Tamandua tetradactyla: one gene and its partners. The protein of the gene in region 1 purifies or fractionates together with the protein of each later gene. This does not show direct contact. Links are inferred from orthologs where the notes say so. Each region holds a gene or a part of one and is shown in the gene's direction. Other genes may lie near its edges. The genes, in order: CHD4, NOLC1, ZMYM3 and SMARCC1.

What was found.
Region 2: the proteins of CHD4 (region 1) and NOLC1 purify together in Homo sapiens (affinity purification with mass spectrometry, with the first as the bait; 3 studies listed by BioGRID). This does not show direct contact. The link is inferred for Tamandua tetradactyla from reciprocal best matches to the Homo sapiens genes CHD4 and NOLC1.
Region 3: the proteins of CHD4 (region 1) and ZMYM3 purify together in Homo sapiens (affinity purification with mass spectrometry; 3 studies listed by BioGRID, with this or other methods). This does not show direct contact. The link is inferred for Tamandua tetradactyla from reciprocal best matches to the Homo sapiens genes CHD4 and ZMYM3.
Region 4: the proteins of CHD4 (region 1) and SMARCC1 purify together in Homo sapiens (affinity purification with western blotting; 6 studies listed by BioGRID, with this or other methods). This does not show direct contact. The link is inferred for Tamandua tetradactyla from reciprocal best matches to the Homo sapiens genes CHD4 and SMARCC1.

The regions. Positions count from the first base shown.
Region 1 is NC_135333.1:68,890,030-68,896,995, reverse strand, and holds the start of CHD4 (chromodomain-helicase-DNA-binding protein 4), read left to right. Parts: upstream 1-3,957; 5' UTR 3,958-4,083; intron 4,084-4,664; exon of another isoform or gene 4,665-4,876; intron 4,877-4,929; 5' UTR 4,930-5,007; coding exon 5,008-5,107; intron 5,108-5,323; exon of another isoform or gene 5,324-6,860; coding exon of another isoform or gene 6,861-6,873; intron 6,874-6,966. UniProt on the Homo sapiens protein: ATP-dependent chromatin-remodeling factor that binds and distorts nucleosomal DNA. Acts as a component of the histone deacetylase NuRD complex which participates in the remodeling of chromatin.
Region 2 is NC_135339.1:64,002,878-64,009,778, forward strand, and holds the start of NOLC1 (nucleolar and coiled-body phosphoprotein 1), read left to right. Parts: upstream 1-3,889; 5' UTR 3,890-4,064; coding exon 4,065-4,184; intron 4,185-6,171; coding exon 6,172-6,227; intron 6,228-6,334; exon of another isoform or gene 6,335-6,363; coding exon of another isoform or gene 6,364-6,377; coding exon 6,378-6,514; intron 6,515-6,617; coding exon 6,618-6,745; intron 6,746-6,901. Other genes in the region: PPRC1 (peroxisome proliferator-activated receptor gamma coactivator-related protein 1), read left to right, coding at 1-62, 953-1,096, 1,203-1,269, 1,388-1,509, 1,717-1,868, 2,163-2,266. UniProt on the Homo sapiens protein: Nucleolar protein that acts as a regulator of RNA polymerase I by connecting RNA polymerase I with enzymes responsible for ribosomal processing and modification.
Region 3 is NC_135353.1:100,364,082-100,371,906, forward strand, and holds the start of ZMYM3 (zinc finger MYM-type protein 3), read left to right. Parts: upstream 1-4,815; 5' UTR 4,816-4,890; intron 4,891-5,201; exon of another isoform or gene 5,202-5,341; intron 5,342-6,096; 5' UTR 6,097-6,115; coding exon 6,116-6,782; intron 6,783-7,785; coding exon 7,786-7,825. UniProt on the Homo sapiens protein: Plays a role in the regulation of cell morphology and cytoskeletal organization.
Region 4 is NC_135341.1:38,772,713-38,780,475, forward strand, and holds the start of SMARCC1 (SWI/SNF complex subunit SMARCC1), read left to right. Parts: upstream 1-4,744; 5' UTR 4,745-4,819; coding exon 4,820-5,014; intron 5,015-5,136; exon of another isoform or gene 5,137-5,311; intron 5,312-7,763. UniProt on the Homo sapiens protein: Involved in transcriptional activation and repression of select genes by chromatin remodeling (alteration of DNA-nucleosome topology).

The DNA.
Region 1 (6,966 bases):
CAGAGCTTACTGTCCCTGTGGCTTTTCTTCCTGATGTTGTCTTCCCAATCCCCCTTTCTTCATGGAGCCCAACACTGTGCCCCTTAGGCCTCCGTCTCATGAACAGAGTTTCCTGGTCTCACGCAAATCAGAGGTGTAGGGGGAGGAAATCTAGAGCATATGCTGAAAACTCCATGGGCAACTCACTCGGAGTGTTATTCTAGGTTCTTCTGTACCATGGGATGCAAACAGAACTCTAAGGTAACGGGCTAGAGAGGCTGTCCCCCTGGGTGCATTAATCAGGAGATTATCCCACCCTTGGTCTCTGTGGGCCAATCAAGCTGGTGGTTTATTTATAATTTATCTGGGAGGGTAGTATGGGGCCAGGGGAGGGAGGGGGAGGCATAGAGGCATGAAGACCACAAAAGCAACACACAAACATATATCCTAGCCCTTGCTAGGAGAGGAAGAGATTTTAGCCTTCTCCTTGTGGTGGTTTTGGGGAAATGGGAAGTAAGGGAAGGGAGAGAATAAGTAGGTAGTACCTGCAGGGATGGGGTAGAGGGAGTACAGTGGGTAAATGGGAACAATATTTCTAATCATGGGCAAGAGGCTGTGAGTCCCCACTTCGAAAACTCTGATTTCTATTGTGAATCACTGTGGTAAAGTGGTATATATATATATGGAAAAGGGTATTGGGTAGATGGAGATATTACAGAAGGGAAGCTGAGGTCCAGAAACAGGCTGGATCCCTTAGAGGAACAGGGAGAGAGGAGGGCAAAAATAGGTATCTGGCAGCTCTAAATGCAAAGGAGAAACTTCCTTGAAGAGAGGTAAACTGATATTTAGCCATTTTATGGGAGATGCCCCTTTTCCCCCTAGTGAGGAGTGCAAAATTCATTCTTAGTGTCTGGTATAAGCATGGGGAACAGTTTAGAAAAATGAATGGGGATTAATCTTGATGTTGAGAATTTAATGAGAGAGATTCTATGTAGCCTTGCATGCAGTGGAAGCATGCTACAATAGGTATGGTAACAGAGTGTCCAGGGAGTTGGAGCAAATGTCAGAAAAAGAATATAGGAACTACAAAGGTGGTAGTGAGTGCCAAGACTTGAGGTCTTTGATGTTGAAAACTCCAGTCCTAAGGTGAGAAGAGAGTGAAACACGGAATGCTGGTGGTTATACAAAATAGGCAGGAGCAGGTGGGAAGACTTAGCAGCAGCACTGGTGCTCTGCTTGGAAGCAAAAGGATTGTAAATTCTGGAAACAAGCTCTCACCTCTCCTCAACTCATCTCTACTTGCCAGTTTTCCCAGTCCTTAAGTTTCCAAAGGAGGGGAAAATCATCTGGTAATGCCCTTTCTCTAGGGAAATAAGGGCAATGAAGAGATGGAGGGAGAGTCATCCCATTTACTTCTGGTTGGGAAGGAACCCTCCTAGGAGGGAATTCTAGTTTCTCTTCAGACTGTCCTCCCTATATAAGTTATGATCTGTGTGAAAAAGACAAATGGGAGTCCAGGAAGACACTATCTCTGGCTTAAGGGAAGGGGCTGGTACCCCAAGACAGTGGTGCTGAAACATTGGTTCTCGCTCAGGTCTTACATCTCTGGGGCTTGGGAGGAGGGGAAAGTGACAGGCTTATGGGTTCAGAGTCTCCGAGGGCCAAAAGGTTTTAAAACAGCTCTTTTGACTCTCCAGGGCTGGGGCCCCAGGGTGGCTAGAGGGTAGGGGCAGGTAAGGAAGAAAATGGAATATGTTGGGAGGCTACCTTGTAGTATAACTGACTGAGGAAGGCATCCTGGGATGTTTGTAGGTACGGTGAACATTATACAACTAAGGTCTTTAGGTGGAGAATGGGGCCTCAAGAAGATTGGGGCAGGGACAATTGGAGGTATTGTGAGACTTCAGAATATCAAATGTGAAAGTGGTTGAAAAATATGAGACTTACTGGGTAAGCAGAATTTGGTGTTCAAGAATGAAGGTAATGGTTGATAATATTGATGAGTCTCTCAAGAAGAAAACCCGCGATGATATTATAGAATTTTGTATTAGGAGTGGTAAATGGAGAAGCATTGCCTTCCTATCAAAATCTCTCAGTGTGTAGGGAATAGTTAGGAGATTATTTTGGCCATTCATCTACATGGTAATATTTTTCAATATCTTCCTGACTCTAGAAGGACCCCCAAGAACCTCCACTAAGATAGCATCTGTCCTGAGACGAGTTGGGATGTGTTTTACTCTCTGTAATGGGAAATTGGGAAATAGCACTCAGTCGTTCTTCCTTGACACCAAAACATTTCTATCTTGTGTCACAGTTTGCTTGTTTGGTAATGCGTCTTAAAGGGAGGCATCAACTGCCTTCTTTGCATCCCCCTTTGTGCTGAGCTCTGTGCTCTGTCAACATCTGTTGAATGAACACAAATAGTAGTAAGTAGTAAGTAGAAGGAGAGCAGGTCCTAGCTCTTGGTCTTCGTTCACATCATGATGGGAAGACAATGACATTGCTGGCATGTTGAAAAATAGTCTTTGGATGTGATTTTGCACTTATTATAGGATGCCATGTTGTGAATTAAACTTTATGTAATGGTTCATCTGGCAAGCATGGTATTTTGTCAGTTTTACTCAACGTTTAAGGGCAGGAGATGAATATGGAGTATACCTGGATTTTAGTGGGATTGGGTGGGGCCCTATGCTGGCTCTCAGATCTCTAGTGTCTGTCTGGAAATAACAGGAAGCAAAAAACTAGGGTTCTAGACATTAAGAGGATTTATGCTAGGGTACTGATTTGGCCCAGAAAGAGCTGAAAGTGTGTACAACTTTGGGCGGGGACAGGGCAGTGTGGGTAATCTGCTTTGCCCTCTGTACTCTAGGTGTTAGAACAGACAGCTTCTTCAGGAGATGGGGAGGGATGAACATGAATATTATGGGATGCCTGGCAGAAGGGTATAGGAGTGGTGGGGTGGAGATGAAGCATTGTGGAAAGTGATGTTGAGTAGTGCTGGGAGTATTTTGGTACCCACTGGTTGACCCAGGGCACCTTGCTTGCAATTATTATGGGATGTCAGGGTATGAGTGGGGGAATAAAATTATGGGAAATCTTTCCAGTGTTAGGGGAAAGGTGATTAGATGCCCACCTGCCCGGTGGCGGTAGGGCTGTTGATCATCAGGGGATAGAACTTTTTATAGGGGAGGAGTGGATGTTATAAGCTGTGGAGCTAGAGTGAGAGCATGAAGGATGGGGATGGTGTTGAAAGGATCTATCTAGACCCTAGCCGGCAGGGACCTAGGGCAGCTCTAGGGGGTTGGTTATTATGGGATGTCAGTAGAAAAAGTGGGAGACTGATTATTATGGGATATGTGTGGGAGGAGGCCCAGTGTCCGTTGTTGTAGTGTGTGTAGGGGGGTGAATTTCTGACTATTATGGGATATCAAACTGGGGGTGGATGAAGAGTGGTTATTATGGGATGTCTGTGGGGGATGGGTATGAGTATTATGGGATGTAAGGCTCCAGTGCTGGGAGGGGTGCTTATTATGGGATGGCCACGGGGAGGGAGAGGTGACGATTATTATGGGATGTTAGTATTAGGGTGAAGAGTGAAGAAGTTGGCAGAAGGATGGCTATTATGGGATGTCTGGGGGGGAGAGGGTTAGTTGTAAATGGTCTGCAATATTATGGGATGTCAGCAGCCCTGGCATATATATGTGTGGAGTGTGTGTGTAATGTGTGTGTGTGGGGGTCGGGGGTGGGTGTCCGTGTGTATTATGGGATGGCCAAGAGGTGGGCGGTTGCCCGGGTGACACGCGCGCGCGCGCTCGAAGGGGGCGTGGCCAATGGTTGCCTGAGCGACGAGGGGGCGGGGGTTGCCCGGGAGACCTAGGGAGGAGGGTAGCGGTAGTGGAGGGGGGGTTGGAGTTGGTTGAGGTTATTATGGGCTGTCCGCGGGGGGGCGGGGCCTGTGCGGTGGGATTTCCCGGCCGGTGTTTCGGGCCCTTTAAGAGGCGACGCCGGAGCCGGAGCCATTTTCCCCCCTTCGGCCGCGGCAAGGAGGAGCTGGAGCGGGAGTGACACCGGGCCGGACCCTACGCGACCTGCAGCGGCTCCGGGGTGAGGAGAACGCGGGGTTCTTAGAGAGACGCGCCTCGCAGCCCGGCAAGCCCCGAGGGTCGTCCCTTCACCCGCTCTATCCTCAGGCGCCCCCAGACCCGTGGACCGCCCCCTGTCCGGGGGAGCCGACCCTGCCTTTCCCTTCCCTGCAGGGTGCCCAGCCTCCTCCCGCCGCAGCCGGCTCCAAGTCTCGCTCCCGCACCCTCATCCCCGGGCTTGGTCCTCCACAATGCCCGGCGCCGGTCCCCTCGCCCTCTGCTCACTTGCCCCCCGGGACACGTGGCCCGGCCCCCTTCCCGCTGGGGGCTCTCTTGCCCCCACGTCCCTGACTCCAGCACCCCCGGAGCGCCCGAGCTTCCACGCCCCCTTGTCCCCGCGGCTCCTGAGGAGAACCTGAGTTGTCCCAGAGGACAGCCTTTGGAGAGCTGCCCTGTCTGGGGACTGGCCCCTCCCCGGGAGCAGGAAAGCGCCCCCCCCACCCAAGTGACCTTGTGTCCCCGAGCGCCTCGCCGCCCGCCTCCTCCGGCCGCGGCCACTCGGACGCCCCCAACCCCCACCCCCACCCCGTCACACCCTGCCCGGTCCAGCCCTGTTTCTCCCTTCCCCACGCCAGCACCAGCCTGCCTTCGGGGGCGTCGCTCCCTCTCATCTGGGGGCTCCTGTTGGGGAGCTGGCTTCCGGGCTGCCCCCGAGGAGGAGTGTGGAACTAAGTTCAGCCTGAGTGGTTCGGGTGTTGGGGTGGGGGTGCTGCTGTAGCTGGTGGGCGGAAAGAGCGGGTGGGTGTGGGGGAGGGGGACAGTGCGCGTCACTGACTGTCTCTCTTTCTTTCCCCCCTCCCCCGCACAGTGACTCGGGCCAGTGTCGAGGGCCCCAGGCCGCAGGCAGGAGCAGCTGGGCCAATTCCCTGGCCAGGAACGGAAGGGGATGGCGTCGGGCCTGGGCTCCCCGTCCCCCTGCTCAGCGGGCAGTGAAGAGGAGGATATGGATGCACTTTTGAACAACAGCCTGCCCCCACCCCACCCAGGTAACATCATCCCCAAGGGTCCAGGATGGGAAGGAGGCTTTTGGGTCCTCCCTGCTGACTCTGGTGAAGCGGTGCTGAGTTTCTGGTCTTTCTGTGCAGAGTCTGAGGTGGAGGGCCTTGGAAGGAAGCGGTTCCCTTCTGCAGAGCTCTTGTGGGGTGGGGGGTGGGGGGTGGGGGGCTGGGATGGTGGAAGCCATGTGCCTCCTGGGCACCTTGGACTGCGTGGATGCCTGCTTGCTGCACTGGTCTTGAGGAATGCTATGCAGTTCCCCATGGAGAGAGCGCTGCAGACTGGCAGGCATGATTACATGTGGGGATCCTTGGAGGAATGCAGGTAGCCGGGACCCCTGGAAGCTGTTAGATTGGGGCATGTGTGTATCTGTGCTAGTAGGATCCTATGGTTGCTACTGTGGAAAGGAAGGAGAGAGTGCTGGTTACTCTCTATTTGATTTTTAGCTTCTGATCAGTCACTGGCTTTCTGTACTGTTTCAACGGTGAAGTTTGAATTGCGCTCCTCAGCCGGGATCTAGAGTGCTTATAGCCAGGCAGATTGCTGGAATGTTTTGAGCGGAGATGGGGGCTAGGGGATGATATAATAGCCCTAAGAGCAAAATAGGTGGGGCAGAAGAAGGGAGGCGACACCCTGGGCACCCCTCCTCCTCTGGCAAGTGGACATAATTCTGGCTTTGTTCCTCGGGGTGTCTGCCACTGTGTAAGTAGCCTGAGGTTTGGGGTGGTTGGGGTGTTTTGCAGTGTTTATGTAGGTGTGTTGGGGGTTGTGTTATCTGTGTTTTGGGGTGGCTCCTTGGATTGGCCTAACTCGAATGGTTATAACCTTGTCTATCCTTAAATGATGATTGATCTCATGCTCCTAAGTGGGTATCTCTCTTGTCTTCCTTTCTTCAGAACTCCTAGCTAAGTTACCTACTGGTCCTTGACCTTTTTTCTAGCTTGTTTTTGCTACATGCCATTTCTTCAGCCTCTCTGCTTATATTTTTTCTCCTCATTCTGGAGCCTGCCGATCCTGTTTATATTTCCCATCTAATGTCTTTCACTTCTGTTTTCTGTCTTAGCTCCAGCCGGAAGTTGAGGTGATTTGGGAGACATGCTTCCACATTTGGCATTTTCTAAGTTGGAAGTCTTCATCTCAGCCAGAGGTCACTAAAGCGAGGGACCAGCCATGGTGTCTTCTTTGCATGTTTCTGAGACTTCAGTTGTTGAGATAGAAAACTTAGGCTTGAGTCTCATAGGCTTGAGTCTTATCATTATGTTGGGTAGGGTGGTAACTTTCTGTGCTGTTGCCCAAGGTAGAGTGGTTGTGGTGGTAGGAGAGCTTGTCCTTTCTGTGAGGGGCATGAGAATTAATAATGTTATTGAGCCATTGTTGCTTCTACCTCTTGGCCTCCCATTGGTCACTTGGTGTGGGGCAGCCCAGTGTTGACTGGGAGCTGTGCAGCGTGAACTCTGCCCCAAGCTGTAGTATGACCCAGTTTTTCCACTTGCCACACCCCATTCCTGCCCCTTTCCCAAATCTTCGTCTATATCTCAGCCAGTTTGCCACTTGCCACATCAGCATATTGTCTGCCTGACAAGTTTTGGGGTCGCATGTGGAATGTAAGGGTGGCCCCTTTGCCTCCATGGGTTTGCCCTTGTCTCTACTTACAGCTTTTACGGAGGTGGCGAAGAAGAAGAACCGAGATGTAGCTGATTCAGGGGGTGACATGGGGATTGCTGGGGAGAAGCCCTTAAGAAAATGATTCTTTCTGGTGAGATCCAGGCTGGTGTTCCATTCCCAAGGGAATGGGAGGGGCTTTCTTGTGCCTGGCCTGATCCTGGGCTGAGTGGGACGGGTTGGGGGA
Region 2 (6,901 bases), on another chromosome or scaffold:
TCGTCTTCCTCATCCCGATCCCGGTCCCGGTCCCTCTCCCCCCCACACAAGAGATGGCGCAGGTGAGCTCTGATGGCCTGTTAGGTCCTCTCCATTTAGGAAGTTCATGTACAATGGTTTCTTTTGAAAGCTTTTGCACATTAAGTTTGATACTTTCAGGCACTAGGTCTTCCACTTCTGTCTTTGGCTTTTGTCTTTCCCCCCTTTCCTGAGTTGTTGAAGGAGGCAAACTGTGGGAAGATAGCTTCCATTCTTTGTTGGAGTTTGGGTTGTCCCTGAGGTCTCCTGCTTCCTTGAGACATGCCTTGAGGAGACTGTTAGGGTTTGCTCTTGACCATGTTGATTCCTTCACATACTTTATCAATCCTCAATTATGGCATTTTCCTGGTGGTATGGGAGAAGGTGGAAGAGTGGGTTAATTCTTCATTGGAAACAGTCATTCCCGAAGTCCTTTGGGTGCCTCATCTATTTCCTGGTGGTGTCTTTTAATAACAGATCCAAAATTTCCCACTTAATCAGTGAAGTTTTTGGTTTTTGTTGGCGGTAGATATCTTCAGAAGTGGCCCCTACTATAAGTCTAGCACAGTCACCTACCCTTTATTCTATAGTGGAGCAGTCCTATGAGATATGGTAAAGAAGGAGAAACCCAGAGACTCAGGTCTGGCTCCCAACACCACAGAGAGACCTAGGGCTCAGCCCTTTATCTCTCTAGGTTTCCATTTATTTTCTTTTTGATAACTCTTTCAATTTTGAATTGCACAATTGAAAATAAAAATGATTTCTGTCCAGATACTTTGTTTATCTGTGAAGATAACTGTTCTAGACCTCTTCTATTCTACTTTACCTCTGGTCCTGAACCTTCTGACGAGAAGTCAGGGCAGGAGCCGGGGTGATGCAAGTGGAGTATACCTGTACCACTTCCAGCATTTTTGCATGGTCCTTTATTCTCCAGGTCCAGCTGCAGTTCCTCTGGACGTTCCCGAAGATGTTCTTCCTCATCGTCATCTTCCTCTGCATCTTCCTCGTCTTCCTCATCCAGTTCCTGCAGCCGTTCCCGCTCTCCATCCCCTCGCCGAAGAAGTGACAGGAGGCGGCGGTGAGCGTGTGTATAGGATGTCAGTGGTACCTGGGCAGGTACCTCAAGTTTCGAGTCTTGAATTGATGTATGTCTAGGGGCTGATGGTACCTTTTCCTCCTGTCAGGTACAGCTCTTATCGTTCACATGATCATTACCAAAGGCAGAGAGTCCTGCAGAAGGAGCGTGCAATAGTGAGTAGAGGAACAGGTGATGGGACCTTGGACTTGCCCCTGAGTTACAAGCTTAGAGAGTCAACTACAGCTGACTGTCCTGGCTCATGGTATGTTGATTTTCCTTGTCCCAAAATAGGAAGAGAGAAGGGTGGTCTTCATTGGGAAGATACCTGGCCGCATGACTCGGTCAGAGCTGAAACAGAGGTTCTCTGTTTTTGGAGAGATTGAGGAGTGCACCATTCACTTCCGTGTCCAAGGGTAAGCTTCTGCCCTAAGGTTAGGATGTCCTTTCTGTCCCATTTAGCTATCTTGATGCTTCTTTGTCTTTTTCCCCTTGCTCTGGGACACCTTTATTTCCTCAGTCAGAGAGTTGGCTGGTTGGGTAATGAGAAGAAACCACCCCAGATACTCTGTCAACCTGTGCCCAAGTGGCCACTCCAGCCCATGCTTCACCCTTCCCACCAGTGACAACTATGGCTTCGTCACTTACCGCTATGCTGAGGAGGCATTTGCAGCCATTGAGAGCGGCCACAAGTTGCGGCAGGCAGATGAGCAGCCTTTTGATCTCTGCTTTGGGGGCCGCAGACAGTTTTGCAAGAGGAGCTATTCCGATCTTGGTGAGTGGAAAGAGGGCCTGAGGCTTTGGCACTCTTCATCACCTTCCTAGAAGTGGTCCCAACCCTTTGAGGGTGGAGCTAGGCAGACTTATCTTCATCTGACAAATGAAGAACCTAAGGGGTGGGATGAGAGGAGAAGTGGGGGCTTTGGTGTCTTTGACAGAAAATCAGGACACTTAAAGCTTCATCCATTATTGGGATGGGAGGTTGCTGGCCATTTGAGGACCCTGTGTTTGGGAAGTGACGGTCAGAGACCTCATAATCTTGAAATTACTGGTCTCTCTCCTTTTATAGACTCCAACCGGGAAGACTTTGACCCTGCCCCTGTAAAGAGCAAATTTGATTCTCTTGACTTTGACACATTGTTGAAACAGGCCCAGAAGAACCTCCGGAGGTAACCCTGGGCCCTTTCTCCCCTTTTTTCTTCGGAGGTGCCCAACCTCCTCCACCCCACCTCCCCCACTCTAGGGGAGAGAGCTGCTAGTGAGGAGATGACTGTTTTGTAAAGAAATGGAAAAAAAGTGAAATAAAAAATGTGTAAAATCAGATTTTTTTAAAGGGGTATTTGTTTTTTATAACAGGTATTGAAACAAGTTAACTTGCATTCCTGTGTAAAATGGGTGGAGCTGAGGGGTTCGCCCATTGTTGGAACATCTAAATCACTATGCAGACTAATAAAAATGAACTAGAGAGAACTCCCAAGTGCTCTTGTGTTTCTTTCTGTGGTGCTAGTGCCAAATATATTCACTTTTCTTTAAACACAACCAGGGAGATGCTCATTTCCATCACGATCCTAGGACCTCTCTGGTCAGGTGCAGAGTCCACTGGATTTGAATGTATTCTTTGAGAAATCAGTCATGGTGGTCAGTGCTGAAACTTCAAAGTCATTGAATCATAGGGAGCTCTTTTTAGAATGCAGATTCTTAGACCTTCTGGGATGGGATCTGCGTTTCTAACAAGAGGATGTTCCTGCTGCTGTCCAGGAAGGGCCTGCAATAGCAAAGACCTAAGGAAAGTCAAACTTATTCCAAATAAAGGTTCCCCAAACTGGATCTCTGGTTACATAAACCATTCAGTTTTGTTTACCATTTTAGCTTGAGCACAATGTTTGGTGCACAGAAAGTGCTCAGGTGTTTAAAGAATACATGCATGTGGACAGATGGGGCCAGCTTCTTTCTAGGGAACAGGGACACGGAGTTACACCTGGGGGGGGTGCCTGTTTTGAGAAAAGTAGAGTAGAGGGGTAGCCCATGAGGAAGTGATTCTTACCCTTCCTGATGTAATGCATTAATGGAAAGTGATGAAGGTTGGTAGGATTGAAGGGATTGCTGCCTGCTAATGTGAACTGAAATATGGCAGAAATTGGAATTTCTTTATGAACCCGAGGTTTTATATTAGTTACTCATGGTAACTAATTGGGCGGCAGTTCTCTAGTTCACAGTGTGAACTCTTATCCAGGAGGTAGCGGAGTTATTTTTAGGACTTGCTATGTGACTGGGTTGGGTGCAGGATTTCTCTTCATGGAGCTAATGATGAAAAAGTAATGGGAGGGGAGCTGCCTTATATCTACGGGAGGTGCAGGGACAGATCCTGTCGGGTGGTTTGGGGGATCAACAACCACCACCGATAACCTGAGGAATCCTTTGTAACGGAGGGGTGAGTTTGGAGGCTGAAGTGGTATCTGAGAAAAGTGTCTCATTGGGTGCTGGAGGCAGTGAAGATGAAGGGGGAACCCACTGAATGGGGACAATTGGGAGGGTTTGTGACCAAGTCTAGGGAGTAAAGGACAGCTTGAACCGGGCGGCCCATGCATTACTGTGGAATACCAATTCCAGCTGGAGACCGGAATGCCGATACTCTGAGAAAAGAACCTCCTACAAAAGTGTAACGCGCGGGAAACGCCGAGGTTTCCCGCCACGGCCGAGGGCGTGGCCTTTACGTCAGGGCTCCGCCCACACAAAGTGGCGGACCGCGAGCTCCGCCCTTACCATGAAGACGACACGCTTAGGACCGGAAGGAGTTTTCGGCTTCCGCCTTGACCTTGCCTCCGACACGGAGGCGGGACTGCTCTGTGGAATACCTGCCTTTCCGGTATGCGCCCGCGCGGCGTAATGACGTTACAGGGCGCCTGCCTACCTCCTGCAGTTTCTAAGTAGCACTGTGTCGACGACGGTAGTGACGTGTGTATCCTGGAATATGGCGGACATCGGCTTGCGCCGCGTGCTTCCCAGCGATCTGTATCCCCTCGTTCTCGGCTTTCTGCGCGATAACCAGCTCTCGGAGGTGGCAAACAAGTTCGCCAAGGCGACAGGCGTTGTAAGTCCCGAGCTTGGGGCACTGGACAGGGTGGGACGACCACAAGACTCCAGGCCCTGATATGCTTAGGGTTCCGAATAGGAAAGTCTCTGGGGTCTGCCCGCCTGGTCTCTGCGGAGGCCTTTGTGCCGAGCTCTCGGCGGTGGCAGCAGAGGGCCTGGAGCGTCGCGCCTCCTTTTCCTCGAGGTCTGAATAGGTAGTACTGAATCTTGCTGCTTTTTCTTGGTGAGCGGTGCATTGGCTGCAGCATGGGACCCGCGTGGCCCAAGTCACATGGGTTGGCGGAGTGCTGCAATGAAGGGTCACCGTACCCCACCGAAATCGTTGGCGGCCCTTGGTGGGCTTTTAGTTGACTGAGACAGAGCGTGACTTGACCTAATTGACGACTTCATTTACCTCGGACTCAAGGTGAATGAAATTGCTTCAGAAATGAAGGCTAGAATTTTCGTTAATAAAGAAGAAAATAAATTAGCGTAGAGGCAGGGTTCTGCTCTTGTTATACTGAAGCAGAAGGATTGAACCTCATAGCCCTATCAAGCAAACGTAACGGTGGATCTTTGACTTAGCAAAGATACCAGGTCTACCATTAGTAGAGTGTAGCTTAGGCAGCTTGCTTGATCTCTCTGAGTCTGTTTCTATTTATACAGAGATGCTGTTATCCACTTTGGGGTTTTTTTGGTGAATTTCCGTAAGATGATATATACTAAGTTCTGTACAGGAAACATCAATGATTGAAAGCTGTTCCCTTAGCTATGATAACTTAGAATTGTTCCAAACATATATAAGAGGACGATGACCAGGATCTGAAAGGTTTGGAATCCACATATCAGGAAGAGCACCCTGGGGAAACACCTGGAGAGAGATTAGAGTGGTAGTTTGCAGTGTAGACATTACACGACCAAGAAGGTAGTCTTGTTTTTGTAGCAGAACCAGGCTGTGAAAGAGGGCGATTGGCTCAACCTCAGAAAGAACTTCCTTAGCTGGGACACAGTACCATGTAAACTTATATAACTGCTTTCTTATTGGAACAGTTTTGAATTGAATGTCAGGGAGGCTGCAAAGAAAATTTCCATAATGGGTTGGATGTAATTGGGCCTTTCAGAGTCAGGATTCTTGGGTTTTACAAGACAAAATTAATATTTGTGGAGGGATAGTGAGGGGCCAGCTGTTAAGCCCTTTCACATGCATTATCTCTTATTCTTTGTATTATTTTGGGGGGGAGGGGTGCATGGTCCAGGAATTGAACCTGGGTCTCCTGCATGGAAGGCAAGCATTCTGCCACTGAACCCCCCATGCACCCATATTATCTCTTATTCTTTCTGCAATTTAATGAAATGGATAGTATTATTTCCTTTTTTTAGAGAAGAAAACAGTCTCAGAGAGATTAGGTAATATGCCCATAGTCACACAGCTATAACTGGCAGAGGTGGTTTCATATCTATAGTTATCTGACTGAATCTGCACTCTTGTTTGTATTGTAATGCCTTACCATCTTTTGGAATCAATTTATAATCTATATGAGTGCTAATAATTGAATGCAATTCTATACTGTCTGTATAGCAGTTATTTACCAATCTTCTCTTCCAGTGATTTGGTATTATAAACCACATTGCCAAAAACACCCACTTGTATAAATGTTTAATTTCCTTGTTTCATGGGTAAGGATAAACTCCAAATAAGACAATGGTAGAATAAAGGAAATGCATGTTCTTTTAAGCCTTTCATATACGTGGTGGTGATGGTGCCATAAAAATCTCATGAATAGCCCAAGTATTTGGTATCCAAAATTGGGAAATACGCAAATAGATCAGATGTTTTTCTCCTGATTTGTGCAAGTAGACATAGTAATATGTACCGTTTATACCAAATGTAGTTGGGATTAATAGGTCACATTTAATGAAAGAATAACGCAAAACATGATCCTTCCTTGAAGAACCAGAATAAAATTTCCTTATCCAGTTCTCTCTCTTTTTTTTTTTTTTTACAGACACAGCAGGATGCCAATGCCTCTTCCCTTTTGGATATCTATAGCTTCTGGCTCAAGTAAGCCTTCCCTCTTCCACTTTGGCTATTTTTTCTCTGTGGCGGGCTGAGTGAGCTGTGTTCCTCAGTGTTTTTTATTCCTTGTTAGGCTGTGTTCCTTGGTTTAGGAAGGTCCTGATCCCCAGAAGTTAGTCTAATGTATGTCAACAGGTCTGCTAAGGCCCCAAAGCGGAAGTTACAGGTAAATGGACCGGTGACTAAGAAGGCTAAGAAGACTTCATCCAGTGACAGCAGTGAGGATAGCAGTGAGGAGGAAAAAACCCAAGGGCCTCCAGCTAAAAAGGCGGGTAAGACAGGGCAGGAGGTTGTGATTGGTGATTCCGGGAAAAGGATTTGTGGTTAGTGTGTACCATGTGCCTAATTTTTACTTGGATCTCTGCTTTTGTTCAGCTGTGTCTGCTAAGCGGACCACACTGCCTCAGCAATCTGGGAAGGTTGTGGCCAAAGCATCAGAAAGTAGCAGCAGTGAAGAATCCAGTGATGAGGAGGAGGAGGAGAAAAAGAAAAAGTCTGTCCAGGTGTGCAGCTTTAAGAAGGGAAGGGAGTTAATTAAGAGTTTAGAAAGGAAGAAACCTAGAATCCTGGCTTCTAGTGACCAAGGGGTGGTGGTGGGTGCGGAATAGGTTAACTATGAAGAAGAACCTGGGGACTTTCTGAGCAATGATCAATATGTG
Region 3 (7,825 bases), on another chromosome or scaffold:
TGGTAAGGGTAAGGGGATGTATGAGGCTTCTTTCTTTTGTGTTGGTTTGAAAGGATTTATGTACCCTAGGAAAACCATGTTTTAAACCTAATCAATCTTGCAGGAGCAACCATTTCTTCAACCTCTATTCAATACTATGGGCTGGAAACTTGATTAGGTTATTCCACGGAGATGTAACTCACCTAATTCTGAGTATTAACTTTTGAATAGAGGGAGCTGTTTCTCCACCCATTCCAGGTGGGTCTTCATTACTTTACTGGAAGCCTTTACAAGAGGAAGCATTTTGGAGAAAGCTTGAGGATGACAGGAACAGCAGAGACACATGAACTACAGAGACCACCAGCCAGCAACCTTTGGAGATAAAGAAGGAGAACGCCCCTGGGGGAGCTTCATGAAGCAAAAGGCCTGGAGAGGAAGCTAGAAGACATCACTATGGTCTCCATGTGCCTTTCCAGTTGAGAGAGAAACCCTGAACTTCACCAGCCTTTCTTGAGTTAAGGTAACCTCTTGTGATTGCCTTAATTTGGACATTTTTATAGACTTGCTTAAATTAGGACATTTTCTTGGCCTTAGAATTGTAAACTAGCAACTTATTAAATTCCCCTTTTTAAAGCCCGTCCCATTCTGGTGTATTGCATTCCAGCAGCTTGCAAACTAGAACACTTTATAGTCTGAAGTGATGCAAATGTTTTAAAAACGATCAAGGTGATGAATACACAACTATGTGATTATATTGTGAGCCATTGATTGTACGCCATGTATGGACTGTACATTTGTGAATATTTGTCAATAAAAATACTTAAAAACTAGTGATTCAGCAATCATAACTCATTTGTTAAATCCTCTATTCTGTTACACCTCCTCCTTCTTTTCTGATTCTTCTCCCAATCTATAGGGATCTTTGGACAAGACCCGTTTTAACTTTTTCATGTTCAGAAAGGGGTCGACACTAAAAATAGGGGACTCTAATTAATTGGTTATCTTGGACCGGCTAGTCCCTCTGGGTTTCAGGATTTATCTGACCTAAGAACCCTCCTGGAGTTATAGGTTCCAGGAAAGCAAACTTAGTGCATGAAACTTTTATAGAGTCTCAGTCTGAGCGTAGTTGTTTTTAAGAGTCAACAGGAGTGATGTTGGTTGGGGGTTAGCAAACCATGGCAATTAGCACTATGTAACTAAAGCTTGCATAAGAGCAACCTCCAGAATAGCATCTTGACTCCATTTGATCTCTCTTGGCTACATGTTTCTTTTATAAAGATAATAGTTACCAACATTATTGAGAACCTGCTATATGTCAGGCAAAGGTCACATCTCACTTAATCTCAATAGCATCCCTATGAGTTATTATTTTTTTACTCTTTAACTTTTAGTTTTGAAGTTATTTCAAACTTACAAGACAGATGCGAAATTAACACAAAACCCACACAGAGAACTCCAACACCTAGATACTCAGATCCACCAATTTTCAACATTTCTTCTACATTTGCTGTATCACTCAGCATATCAGTCCATTTATCTACCCATTTATCTATTTTTTAAACCTTTGAAAGCAGGTTGTATATATCAGCTCCTTGAACACTTAATACTCCCACATATATTGCCTAAGAATAAGGAGATTCACTTATGTAACCACCTTAAGTACAATGATCAATTTCAAGGAATTTGACATTGAGATAAAACTTATAAGTATATTCCAATTTTTTCATATGTCTCAGTAATGTCCTTTTGGGCCTTTACTCCTCCATTATTAGACCTCATTCAGGATTATTTACTTGTCATTGTTTCCTTAGTTGTTTTTTTGTACCTGTATGGTAGCATATATACCACATAAACTTTCCCATCTCAACCACTCCCAAGCATACTATTCAGTGGGATTAATCACATTCATAATGTTGCACTCCCTTCATACCATCCATTTCCAGAATTTTCCCATCGCCCCAAACAGAAATCCCTCGCCCATCAGGTATCAACTCCCTATTCCCCCTCTCCCCACCCCGCCCCTGGTAACCTGTACTCTACTTTCGGTCTCTATGAATTTGCAAGTTTTGTTAGCTATTTCATATGCGTGGAATCATCCAATATCTGTCCATTTGTGTCTGACTTATTTCACTTGACATGATGCCTTCAAAGTTCTTCCATGTTTTTGCATGCATCAGAACTTCATTCCTATTTTAAGGCTAATACTCCATTGTATGTATATACCATATTTTGCTTATTCATTCATCTGTTGATGGACATTTGGATTGCTTCTACCTTTTGGCTATTGTGACTCGTGCTGCTATGAACATTGGTGTACAAATATCTGTCTGAATTCCTGCTTTCTGTTCTTTCAAGTAAATTTCCAGAAGTGGGACTGTCGGGTCATATGGTAGCCGTATGCTTAAGTTTTTGAGGAATTGCCAAGGTGTTTTCCACTGGTGCTGCACCATTGTACATTCCCACTAACAATGAACCAATACATCCTCGTCAGCACTTTATTACTTTCCACTTAAAAAAAAAAAATAGTCCCTTTATGGATATGAGGCCTATGGGTATTATTATCCCCACTTTATGTTTGTGGACAACTAACATTCAGAATAGTCCCATAAGTACTGAATCACAGAATCAGTATTTGGACCCTTATCTTTCTGACTGAAAAAGGAAGTCTCTTTCTATTATGCACACTGGCTCCTTAGAAAACAAATTATTGAAAGCCTATCATGTGCCTGGCACATTATTTCTAATCCTTCCAAACTTCCTTCCTACTTTACCCTGCAAAGTAGGTATTAATATCCTCATTTTAAAATGTTAATATTTCTCCTGATTATAAGAGCAATATGTGTTAGTAGACAAATTTAGAAAATAAAGAGAAGCAATGCAAGAAACTATTTTTTAAACTCATATATATTCCAACCACACATAATTACTCTAAAAATGTTGATGTATTTCTTTCCAGTCATTTCGTATGCATACGTGGTAAAAATAGATTTTTTTCTATAAAATTAGGATATTTTAACTCCTTTTTGACATTTAATATTCTATGAGTATTTTTGCATGTAATTGGTTTTTCAAAATGTGGTTGTTAATGATGACATACATTGCATGACAGTAACTAAATTGATTTAACCTAGTGCCTATTATTGGACACTTAAGACTGTTTCCTCACCTCTGTTTAAGGATGAGAAAAGTAAACCCCAGTGACTTGACAAGTCACTTGTCCCAAGTTATCTGGCTAGAAAGCAGGCTGAGTTGAGATTAGAATTTTGGTCTAGCTGACTCTAGAACTCAAGCACTTTATACACCACACCAGCTCTAGAAATAATAATACACCATTAACTGCCCTTCCATTTTCTCCTCTCAACTTGAAAGCTAGTGACAAAGCACTCTCCACAACCAGAACAGCAAAGGATCCAAGCATGAGGAACACAGATAATACAAAAGAACTAGGTGGCCCAACTGAGATGGAACAAACTGAAAAACAACAGGGAGGCACAAGGACATAGAAATAAGCAGAAGGTGGGAGATGGGTACACAGAACACTGATTGAGATAAGGAGAAAGCTGCAGTTGTGAAATTTAAAAGGAAAAAAAAAGCTTTTGCTTTTGTCTTTATATGTATATAGGAAAGAGCAAAGATAACCTCAAGGCCATGTGAGGAACTGGGAGGGATAAGGTTTCTGGAAAAGCGGATGAGTAAAGGGAGGATAAAACTTGGGAGGACTATAAGGCTAGGAGAGGCTTAGGGTGGGAAGGAGAAAAGTCCCGAGGGCAAAGAGTCAGGCTACAGTATTCAATACCAGCCACCAAGCCTACAAGTTCTGTGGCTGAACTCCCTTCCAGCAGGAGCCTCCTCCAATATCTCAGCTATTAAATACCCCTTAAGAGCTGGGGAGGAAAGGTGAGAAGCAGGGATTGTAAAGTGCTCTAACTATAATGAGGACTGAGAAAGGATCCTTGCACACTTGTTTAAAGCCCTGGCCTAAGGCTAGTGCCCCCTCCCCCCATCCCACCTCTCTAGCCTCAACCTCAGCCACACCCACATGTTAAGGACCATCCAGGAGGGGGGAGCGTGTGTGTGTGAGTGCGTGTGTATTTACACGCATGCAAGCTCGTGCATAGAAGAGACAGAGACGGAGACAAAAAGAGACCGGGGAGAGAGAGAGAGAAAGAGCGCGCGCGAGGAAGAGAGAGAGCAAAAAGAGACAGACAAGGACAGAAAGAGAGAGGGAGAAAGAGTGGAAGCAAAAGACAGACAGACGGGAGACAGAAAGGGAGGGAGGAGGGCTATCGGCCCTGGTGAGAAAAACTATTCCAGAGATAATGCAGGGAGCTCTTGTAGGAGGACTCAGGAAGAAGATCCTAGAACTTACCCTAAGACCGCTGAGGGAGTGTGTGTGTGTGTGTGTAGGGGGGGGTGTCTTTGCAGGGCCTGGATTTGGGGGGCATCAGCAATAATGGTCACTGCATAGGCGTTGACACTGAGCCAGAGCCATTTAACCCGCCCGGGGTGGCTGGAGACCAAGCTTAAGACGCCTCAAAACTACGACCCTTCGACTGGTTAGGGGGGCCCGAGGCTGTAGACAAGGGGAGGAGGGGCACGTGAAGGCTGGGTCCCTGCCTCCCTCCACCCTCTGCTGTCACTCATTACCCCAACAGTCGCCCCGGGGGCAGGCCCCGGAGAGGTGGGGATGGGGGGAGGGTAAGCTTGGCAGGCGCCTGCTGCATGGCGTAGGTAGTGACTGTTGAGGGGGGGCGGATGCCGGAGGGTTGAACACGAGTGGGAAGAGAAGAGAGACACGGGGAGGGGGAGGGGACCGGGAACCATTTGAATGAGAGGAGGGGATCACGGGTAGAGTGGGCTCCAGGAGGTAGGGCGGGCACGGGTGTGACGGGGGCCAGACTCTTGGGCCAGGTAAGGGAAGCAGGTGCGTAGATCTGTGTTTTCTGTGGGTTAGTGTACTCGGCCCCTTGGTGAAAAGGGGGCGACGCCTTTCCCGGGGGCGGGCTTCAAAGCTCCAGAGGCTATCTTTTCCTGCTCAACTAACGGGGCCCCGGGCGGGGGCTCAAGCTCCATCTCCAACGACCAAACTCCACTCCGCAATTTCCAGGCGGCCACTGGGCTGGGAGTCTCGCGCCGGGGGCCGGCGCTGTCTCGCGAGCCCCCTCCTCGAGCCAGCCAATGGGGTTGGTTGCTGGCGCCGCCCGCCCGCCTGGTGCAGAGCGCTGGGCGCTGTGAGCGGCGCTGCCATTTAAAGGGGCCGCGACCCCTGTCCCGGCTGCTAGGGAGGGAGGTGGAGAAGGAGCGCGGGGCCATCGCTGTCTGCAGTTCTAGGCTTGTAGCGGTTACACTAACCCTGCCGCAGGTAGGGGTCGGGCCTGATCCAGCCGAACCGAACCTGCAGGCGGGAGCTCGCAGTAGCCGGGAGGGGGGTCTAAGGAGAGATCGTAGCTCCAAAATGTCTTCCTGTAAATGCCTGAGGTGGGGGGTGGGCAACAGGAGAAGGGAGGACTGGGGGAGCAATAGGAAAAGGGGACGGGGTTGAGGAAGTGGGCGACCCTGAAAGGTAATTGGGGGGGAGGGGTTAGGAAGGGCAGTTTGTGGGGGCGGGGGAAGGGCCAAGGGAGGACCATGCTACGCGGGGAGGGGGGGTGGGGCTAGACAGGGTGGGTAAAGACTGGGGAGCTGGGGGGGCTTTAAGGGGAATGGGAAGGAAATAGAAACTGAGATCGCGGGGGCGGGAAAGCCTCCGGGTGGCGAAGGCCCTAGGAGACTCTTAAGGCCGAGTTGGGGGGGGGGGTTGAAAGGTAAGGGGGGAGGGGAAGTGGGAGTTGCAGTCGGGGGTGGGGGTTGCAATCGGGCGGTTGAATGACCCACTGGCTTATTGAGTGTGGGCACAGGGCCAGGGCGGGGAACGCCTCTCCCCACAGGGGGCGCTGTATGGGGAGGGGGGGAGTGGTCTTTTGGACTAAAGCCTGTGGAAATGCTTTTTGGTTGTGGTGATGGGGGCTGTTCATGTGAAATCCAAGTGGATGTTGGGGTGTGTCTCAGAGCCTCCATGAGAAGGAATTCTGGCTAAGACCACCTCTACTTGCCTTCTGTTGTACCCCTGATCTCCAGCCCATATCCGGCCTTCCTCATGGACCCCAGTGATTTCCCCAGTCCATTTGACCCATTGACCCTGCCAGAGAAACCCCTGGCTGGAGACCTTCCAGTGGACATGGAATTTGGAGAAGATCTGCTGGAATCCCAGACTGCCCCGACTCGAGGATGGGTCCCCCCTGGCCCTTCTCCATCCTCTGGAGCCCTGGACCTGCTTGATACCCCTGCTGGTCTGGAAAAAGACCCTGGAGTCCTAGGTGGAGCCACTGAGCTGCTGGGGCTGGGGGGGCTGCTCTATAAAGCCCCCTCACCCCCAGAAGTGGACCATGGTCCTGAGGGGACCCTTGCGTGGGATGCAGGGGATCAGACCCTAGAGCCTGGACCAGGGGGCCAGACCCCTGAGGTGGTGCCACCTGACCCAGGGACTGGGGCAAACCCCTCTTCTCCCCAGGGGCTACTAGAGCCTTTGGCCCCAGATTCTCCAATAACCCTGCAGTCTCCCCATATTGAAGAGGAGGAGACCAGTTCCATTACTACAGGGAGAAGGGATCCCCCTGGGCAGGAGGAGGAGCTTCCCCGAGGGCAGCCACAGAGCCCCAATGGCCCCCCCAGTCCTTCAGTGGGAGAGACTCTGGGGGATGGAATCAACGGTTCTCAGACCAAACCTAGGGGCCCCAGCCCCCCTGCACACCCTTCCTTGCCAGGTAGGTTGCCTAATCAGATGATGAATTGAGGCTGGGCAGAGAGGGTGGGTGTAAGGAGGAGTGGCTCTGTGTTTGGGGGAAGAAGCAGGAGAGGAGGAGAATGGAGAGGGAAGAGTAGAGGTGTGGGAGGGGGTAAGAAGGCGGAGGTTTGGGAGGGAGGAGTGGGGATGTGGTGAAGAAGAGGAAGGAAAGTAGGGGTGAGGGGAAGCACAGGGGGTGTGGAGGGAGGGATAGGGGTGAGGTATCAGGGTGGTGGGTTGGGGGGAGTGGTTTTGATGGGAGATGTTCCCTTTTATTATTACTCAAATGGGCTTTTGGTGCCAGGATCCATCCCTCAGGATTTAGGGAAGAAAATAGGCTTCTTGGTTCTAAGATCTCTGCAACTGTTTTATTCTAAATGGGAGTGGGGTTTCTGGGTTTGATGAATGACAACTAGATTCTGGAGCCACCAAGAGCATAAAGATTTCAGGAGAATGGTAGAAATGTAGAGTGTGTCTCTGATGTGGGAGGGGCAGCCTGAACGTGAGAAGCTCCAGTTCCTCCCCTGTTTGGCCTAGTCCTGTTCCTCTCCCAGGCTGTGTGTGCCCAGGGTCCTAGGGCTTTTATATAACCAACCACCTGAGGCCAGAGGAACCTACCCATACATTTGTACTTCCTTTCCCCCTTGCTGCTGTTGGGTGGTTGCATTTGTCTTTGTTGGTAAAACAAATTCTGGATGAAAGGTGTGTTATCTGTGTTTCCTTAACTCCCAATGATTGAGGACAGAAAAGCTGATGGGAAGGGTAGGGGTGCTTTTTGTTTTCATAGAGAGTAGCTGCGCCCTGCCCCCTTAGTACAGAGCCCAAGGTAACCAGGGGAGGGGCCCCAAGAAGCCACAGACACTCGAGTTTTCCCTTTCAGTTTTGAGTAAGTTCTTTCCCTGAATTGGGAGGTGGGGGTTGGGGCAGGGTGGGGTGGGCAAGGGCAGGCTCAAGATTTAGGCTACCTTCTGCTTCCTTTGCAGGAGATGGCCTGACTGGGAAGGCGAGTGAGAAGCCGCCTGA
Region 4 (7,763 bases), on another chromosome or scaffold:
GCCCCAAATTTGTGCTAAGGAGATGTCTCAGAATGGAGGCTGGCCATGCCAGAAAGACCAACCATGTGATTTGAGTTCAGATTTTGACCCTAACATCAAGGAAGCAGAGGGAGACTAGATATTGAGCTAAATTACCTGATCGATGATTCAGCCTATCATGCCTATGTAATGAAACTCCAATAAAAACTCTGGACACTGACATTCAGGTGTGCTTTCCTGGCTGATAATACTCTATATATTGTCACACATCAATGTGCCAGGATGGCTATATGTCCTGACTCCACAGGGAGTGGACAATGGAGCTTCTGGTTCTTGTCCTTTGGGTCTCTTCATTTGGCTCCTTCTTATTTGTTTCCTTTTTTTGCAATAATAAAATTGTAAGTATAGCAGTTCTTCAACTTCAGTGACTTATGATAGTATATTATCAAACCTGAGAGGGCAGGGGAACCACCAAATTTATAGCCAGTTGATCCAAAGTCAGGGTGGCTGTGGATATCTTCCCTGACCTTGTGGCTAGTTTCTGAAGCATGGGAAATCTTTCGGAGGACTGTACCTTTCATCTGGCCTAACTCTATGTCAGAAGGCATTGTATCTTGCCAGGGATAAAAATACAAAAATTGCTCAATTGTAGTCATTGAAACATGAAGAGGAGTTTCCTGAGACCTACTGAGTACTGGTACAGCCATATTGCTAGAAACCTGAGTATGAGGCTTACCCTGAGGACAGAAAACAGAAATGTTAAGAATTTGGTTCATTGATGACACTGTTGAGCTCCTGAATCCATCACCTATGAGGTCTGTCCTACCTGAGGGCTTACTCCTTTGCAATTTAATAGAATTCCTTATACTTTAAACCAGTTTTGAGTCAGGGTTTCTGTTCCTTGCTGCCAAAAACATCATAAATGACACACAGCCTTGTATAACCTTCTATTTTTACCTAAGGTTTTTGTTCCTTCTTTTATTTCTGCATAAAAAGGTATTTTACTAGTCAATAGTAAATTAAAATTTGAAATATATTTTACTAATATCAGCGTGTGTCATTATTTATTATATCCCACTCCTTTCTGCAGGGTTAAATGTTCTTCTTGCAAAGTACATTTTTTAGTATAGTAGGTTCTTTCAGTAAGAGTTGCTGTGTAATTGCTTATTCATTACATAACTGTAAATGCCTTTATCCTATCCTCAGTCTAGAAAGAGAGTTTAGCTGGATATACAACTCTAGATTGACAGTTTTTCTCCTCATTAAATGGAAGATTATCCCATTGTCTACATCTATTAGTGTTAGGAAGAATGCTGTTGAATTTCTTTTCCTTGTAGGTTTAGTATCTTTTTTCTCTGGTATCATTTAAGGTTTCTTTCTTTGTATTTCATGTTCTGCCGTTTCATTGCACCATGTCCCAATGAGTATTCATTTTTATTTGTCCACCATGGCATTCAGTGTGCACATTTGATTTGAGGACTCATTTCTTCAATTCTGCAATGTTTACAGACATCATGTTAAATGCAGGTTGTCCTTGCTTTGCACAGTTCTAACATGCATAAATCTTAATTATATAACACCAGTCTCCCAACAACATAGTTCTCACTTCATTTACCATAGTATATTAAGTGTAACTATATAAAATGTAAACTTCACTGCTAGCTCTTCAGTCCACAAGTCACTATCTAAATAACAGATGTGTCTCATGATCAATGAATGACCAATCATGCCACTTTTCTTTGTTTCAAAATCTGTTGGTGAAGCCAGAGTCTTTTCATGTTGAGAGACCAAAGTCCACAAATTCTCCACTCAAAGTTTGTCCAGTCTGCCTTAGTCCAGCTTTCTACCCTTTGAATACTTACCAGATCCAGTCACCATTCATGCCTGAACCGAGGATCATACCTGCATTGTCCTTAACTTCAATAACCTCGAAGTCCGTATCTATAAGAATGGTAGTCAATGGGTGAAAGCTCATGAACTCTAGGAGCACAATGAATACATCATAGGTATTGACTGGGCTTCTGTGGTTTTTTGAAGTTGAATTGGACCCCAGAAAAGATAATTTTCTTAAAGTTAACTCATTCCTGTAGGTGTTAATCCTGCTGTGGGTGGGACCCTTTGATTAGATTATTTCAGTTGATGTATAACCCAGGTGGGTCTTATTAATCCTTTTATTGGAGAACTTCGTAAGAGGATGAAATTCAGACACAGTAGTCAAAAGACAAATTCAGAAAGCAAGCCACAGATTGGGCAGCCAGAAGCTGAAAGGAACAAAACTGAGAAGAGAAGGACCAGCAGATGTTGCCATGTCTTTTCAACTGAAAGACTTCAAGATCGCTGGATTGCCGGTTGATGCCTTGATTTGGAATTTTCAATGGCCTCAGAACTGTAAGTCTGTAAACTAATAAATACCTATTGTTATAAGCCAGCCCATTTCTGGTACATGGCATTTCAGCAGCTTTAGTGAACTAAAACAGCTCCCTAGAGCAAATGCATCATCACTTGCAGGTTAGACCTCAATGCCTGTGTCTGGAATTAGAAAAATGGCTGGAAGCAAACCCTGGTGATCCTGAGAATTAATCATTCAGCCACTTTTATGAAGTGGTCCACTCTAAAGAACAAATTTGCTGTGGGAAGTGGAGCAGTACTCATTTCTGTTTGGTACTTTGTATCTGAAAATGACTAGTGGGTAAGCAAGCATGTTAAAAAGCATAGTCCTTCCATGGTCCTCAGCTTAACACTGTTATTGCTTACAGTAGGAGTATCCCACTTCAAATGCAGAGTGTTTTCTGCCTACATTAAAGAAGTGGATAAAAAACCAGCCTGTATACCATAGGACAGCAAGATGTTTTTTGGTCAGCTGATGTCAGACTTTGGTTGTGGCGGCATTGGTGACTGGGTCCAGAGGGTCAGCCTCTCTCCCAGTGGGAGTCATCTTGCCTGGGTAAGCTGTAACAGCACCATGTCCATTGCTGATGCCTCAACAACAACAAAAAATGCAAGTTTCCAAAAATGGAAATGAAAATGGAGTTCCTGATATTCCTGAGTGTACCATATATCTCCAAGACTAGTGTCGTAGCTGTTGGCCATGACTGCTGCCCAGTGCCTTAACTATCATGATTGCAGCTGCTCAATCTTTGTCTCCAAACTAGACATTCCAAGACAGCATCCAGCACCATGAAACAGTTCTGAAAAACGGACAAGAGGACCATAACTGAGAACCGTACAACCTTGGAGTTGCCACACTAGAATAGCATCACTTGAGTGTCTGTTTATGAGGTGGACAAGCAAACTGTCACAAGTTTTGCACCACTGGCATCAATGTGGCCGTAGAAATTTGGGATTTCAAGAGCTTTAGAGTTTTCTATTTAGGACTTCAAATAATGTGAAGCTGAGTGAACCTCTGGAATCTAGCATGATAAACCTTGACTGACTGTGTGCAGTTATTTGCTTGACGGTAGGAAAGCCAGTTGCAAGGAAACATTGAGTATATAGCACGCATTTATTGTGTATGCTTTTGTTTGAATATAATTGGTGAAAGTGTCAGGTTTTTAAAAGTGGCAGTGATTTTTCCATTCTTGACCAAAGTGTCTCTTTAAGTAGTTTATCATGGAAAATAAACTTAAAGTGTGACTTTAAGTTAGTCACACTAACTTAAAGAAAGATGTGGTGAGGTATGTAAATTGCTAGAAAATTAAATAAAAATACTGAATGTGAATGAGAAAAAATCTGTGACTAGTCACTGTGCATTTGTTATTCAGTTCACACACAGCAAGCAAGGCATATTATTGTGTTGCCTCCCTACTGAGTGATCAAAAGAGGGAACAAAGATGAAAATGCATCGAAGAAATGAGAAGTGATAGCTGGACATGAAATTCAAACAGAAATGATATTATAGACGGAATAGCTGACAAGGGGATACTGACACTGACAGTACCAAAAAGACTCTATATGCAGCCAGAGGAGTGTAGTGAAGTCAAACTTATCCACATAATGAAGAAAATGTTTGTGAAAAAACAGATGAGGATGTCTCAACGGATGTGATGCCGGTAAAAAAAACCTCCCATTAAAGGAACTTTTTCATGATATGGAAAGTGCAAAGGATAAAATGTTAGAAGCTGATCAAACTTGGAGAAGAGTTTGATAAAGCATAAAAAAGATGCTCACTCAGTTTCGTACGTTACATAAGAGAAGAGCGAAGTTAGATAAACTGGTGTGGCTAGAGCCAGGAAGAAGGCGGACGGCCGAAGAAGCGTAAGCAGTTCCGGTAATGGAGACCCTGATGGACGTTTACAAAGGTCGACGTAGCCGCTCCGAGTAGAGGGCCAGAGGGCAACCTACGCAGAATCCCACCCCACACGTGGGTCTCTCTGTCGGCACTCGACATCTTCAACGGACTTTCCCCTCGACACTTCTGACACCCAGCCTTTTCTCTCCGACGGTGGCAGACAATGAAATAGAACGGCTATGCGGGTTCTGACCGCACAATTATCTGACACGGGAGCCGGAGAGGAGATAGATGCTCAGAGGCCTAAACCGCGCGGCACAGACAGTCGGCAGCCAACCGCGGCGGGCGGAAGTGGCGGGTCGAAGTGCTTGTCAGTGGTCACCCGCCCGGCACACGTTCTGCGCATGCGTATGCGCGTGCTCGCGTCAGGGCGCCCGTCCTGAAATGGGGCGGAGCTGGCTATCCACGCCGGAAGAGGATTAGCTGGGCGGGGCCGGGGGGCGGTGGTGGCCGCGGCGGCGCGCGCGGGTGCGGCTGTGAGCGGGTGGCTGTGAAAGGGCAGCGCCGCGAGGGCCTGGGCGGGCCGGGCGGTGGGGACGACGGACGGCGACGATGGCCGCGGCAGCGAGCGGCGGTGGGTCGGCGACGGCCGCGGGCGGTGCGGGTGTCGGAGGGACGGCTACCGCCGCAGGTCTTGCTGTTTATCGGCGGAAGGACGGAGGCCCAGTCAGCAAGTTTTGGGAGAGCCCGGAGACCGTGTCCCAGTTGGATTCGGTGCGCGTGTGGCTGGGCAAACACTACAAGAAGGTAGGTTCGCGTGCCCGTAGTAGCGGGGAGGTCACGCGCCGGGGGCCAGAGACGGCTTCTTGCCTCGTGGGCCTCGGGCCGCCCCTCCCCCTCCGCACGCCACGAGGGACAACAAAGGCCGGTTCCGGGCCTGCCACGCCCCCGCCACCCATTCTCGGCTGCAGCGAGCTCGGGGCCTGACTAACTTCTTTTGAACTCACACACGCCGGGGTGAAATCCCCTTCTCTTTCTAGGCTGCAAGAATAGGTCGAGCTCAGTAGCCGGGAGAACGTGAATCTTCTTTTGTTAGCTGCATAGGTGTGTGAACAATGATCATTATGAACTGGGTGAACCAGCTTCGTGTTTTGTTTAGAGACTATTTGTTTATTTGCCAAAGAAGAACTATGGACTCTTGTATTCAGTAGTTAACAGCAGGTTAATACAATGAGTTATAGTATTGATGAGTACTAATATTTTTTTAAAAATGATGGTTTTTACTTCATTGTGCTTTTGGTTATGTAATGCTTTTATTGAAGTTTCTGGTGTGAGGATAAGAGTTAATGTTCTCTTGTACTTAATGTGTCCTCATTGAGGTCTTCCTTAAGGACCCCATTTATATTAGGTCACCCCACTTCATATCACCTTTACTTTCTAATGTTTACCACTTTTTGAAATTATTTTTTATTTACCAATTTGTCTCCGACTTTGGAATGTGATTTCCACTGAAGCATTGTTTTTCGAAGTTTAGACTTAAATCTTGTTTATAATAAAAGGGTTTTTTTCTTTAGCTACTTCTTTAAGAGAATGTTCAGGAATGATTCTTTTTGAGGGTATAATGAAGAAAGCCCCATACACCTCTCCTTCAGGGCCCCCCCACCCCCCCATTTCTTGGAACGCATTCTTCCGTTTCTCCGTTGAGGACAATAGCACAGGGTCAGGTGCCTTGTCAGGCCTGTTCACTGCAGTGTGTCCTTCCTTCAACATGGTTAGTACTCAGTGCTTCACCCTTAATAATTGTAAGTATTTGTTGAATGAACAGATAAATTAGACTAGGAATTTACTTATTTGGGGTCTCCACAGTGAAGCCGGTCACCCTTTTGCAGTTGTTAGGGCATGGGCATGGATCTTAGGCTCTTTTGACATTACACTGCTATATTTTCAAAAATGACATTTCTGATCTAAAGTTTCAGGATGTGAGAGACAATAAGTTGTAAATGCCTTGACTTTTTTTGCCTGAAATATTGGAGTCACATCTGGAACTATAGGTTTTTCTCATCTACACATAAATAGACAGGAATATGTTTATCCCTTATTTTACGATGATAAAATTGCCGTCTGCCCCCCCCCCCTTTTTTTTTTAATCAGTGGAGCTTGTGGATGCGCTGTAAGGGAATTAAATATATTGTGAAAGTAGTTAATTCTTTTATCAGGTCACCTTCAGCTAATGCTTTGAGTCTTAAATTCAGTGTAGCTTTAACAAAGAAAAATACCCAGGAGGTATTTGGATATCAAGGAAGAAAATGGCAAATAGTCACTTTTAGCTCCCAAAACATAGTGTGCGTTGGTTTCCACCCAACTTTAGAAGAACAGTTTCATACTATGATAATCCTTCAGAGATTTGTTTGGGTGGGTGCAGAAATGGCTGTGAGGCCTACTGAATGGTTTGTCCCAGAGTGATTAATGTTGTTCAGTGTCCCTATCACCTTAAAGATAAAGTTAGGTTTGACTTCTCTTGGCTTCTTAAAGCACCTTGGGCCTACTCAGATTCAAAATTGTATACCCTCAGTCCTCATAGTCAGTTGAATTCCGTCCCCTCTGGGAGTGGTGAAAACACTAACCAGAAGATTCTTTGCTTCTTTTCTATGCAGTATATGTCTACTTGGTGTGCTCAGTGATGGGTTTTAAGTAAACATTGCTATTGCGTTCAGTACTGCATATTTTATATTGCATTTTCATCGCAGCTGCAGTTTAAATCTCAGCAACTGTATGAAATAAACATGACATTACTGGTACCATTTTTTAAAAGATGTATATAAATGTCTTTAGTTGTTTTTTAAATGAAAATGGGAAGATAATATAAACATAATCTGCGATAGAATCTTTTTTACTTAGCAGTATATCGCAGGTCTTCCTCCAGTTTCACTTCCTAATATTCTGTAGAAATTATTGTTTCAACATTTAACATCTGTTATTCTTGACCATTCAGGTTGTTTCCCAGTTTTGTTTTCTTTACTATTACAAACAGTGCAACATTAAATAGCTTTAACATATAATCTTATAAACTAGTGTTTTTATTCTTTAAGATAGAGCCCCCAAAAGTGGAACTCTAAATCATACATGGTCTGTAATTTATTAAATATTGGCAGATTATTTTTCCCAACACTGCTCCTTTCCATACTCCCAACAATAATATATGAGAGGGCCTATATACTCTCTTCCACACATTTTTACCAGCATGGAATGCTATCATCAAATTTTGCTAATTTAATAAGTAAAAACTAGTTTCTCACTGTTGTTATAATTTGCCTTTTCTTGACGAACAGTGAAGCTATCGCTTCATGTGTTTATTAGTCATCTGCATTGTTCTTTTGAATTTCCTTTTCATAGCCTTAACCTAACATACCTATTCCCCAGTTTTTCCTTGGGTGGTTTTTCTTTTTCTTAGCAATTTGTAAAACCTGCTTATATATTAGGGATATGAACCCTTTGTATTACGAATTATTTTTTCCAATCTATTATTTTGTCTTTTGACCTTATGTTTTTTGCCATA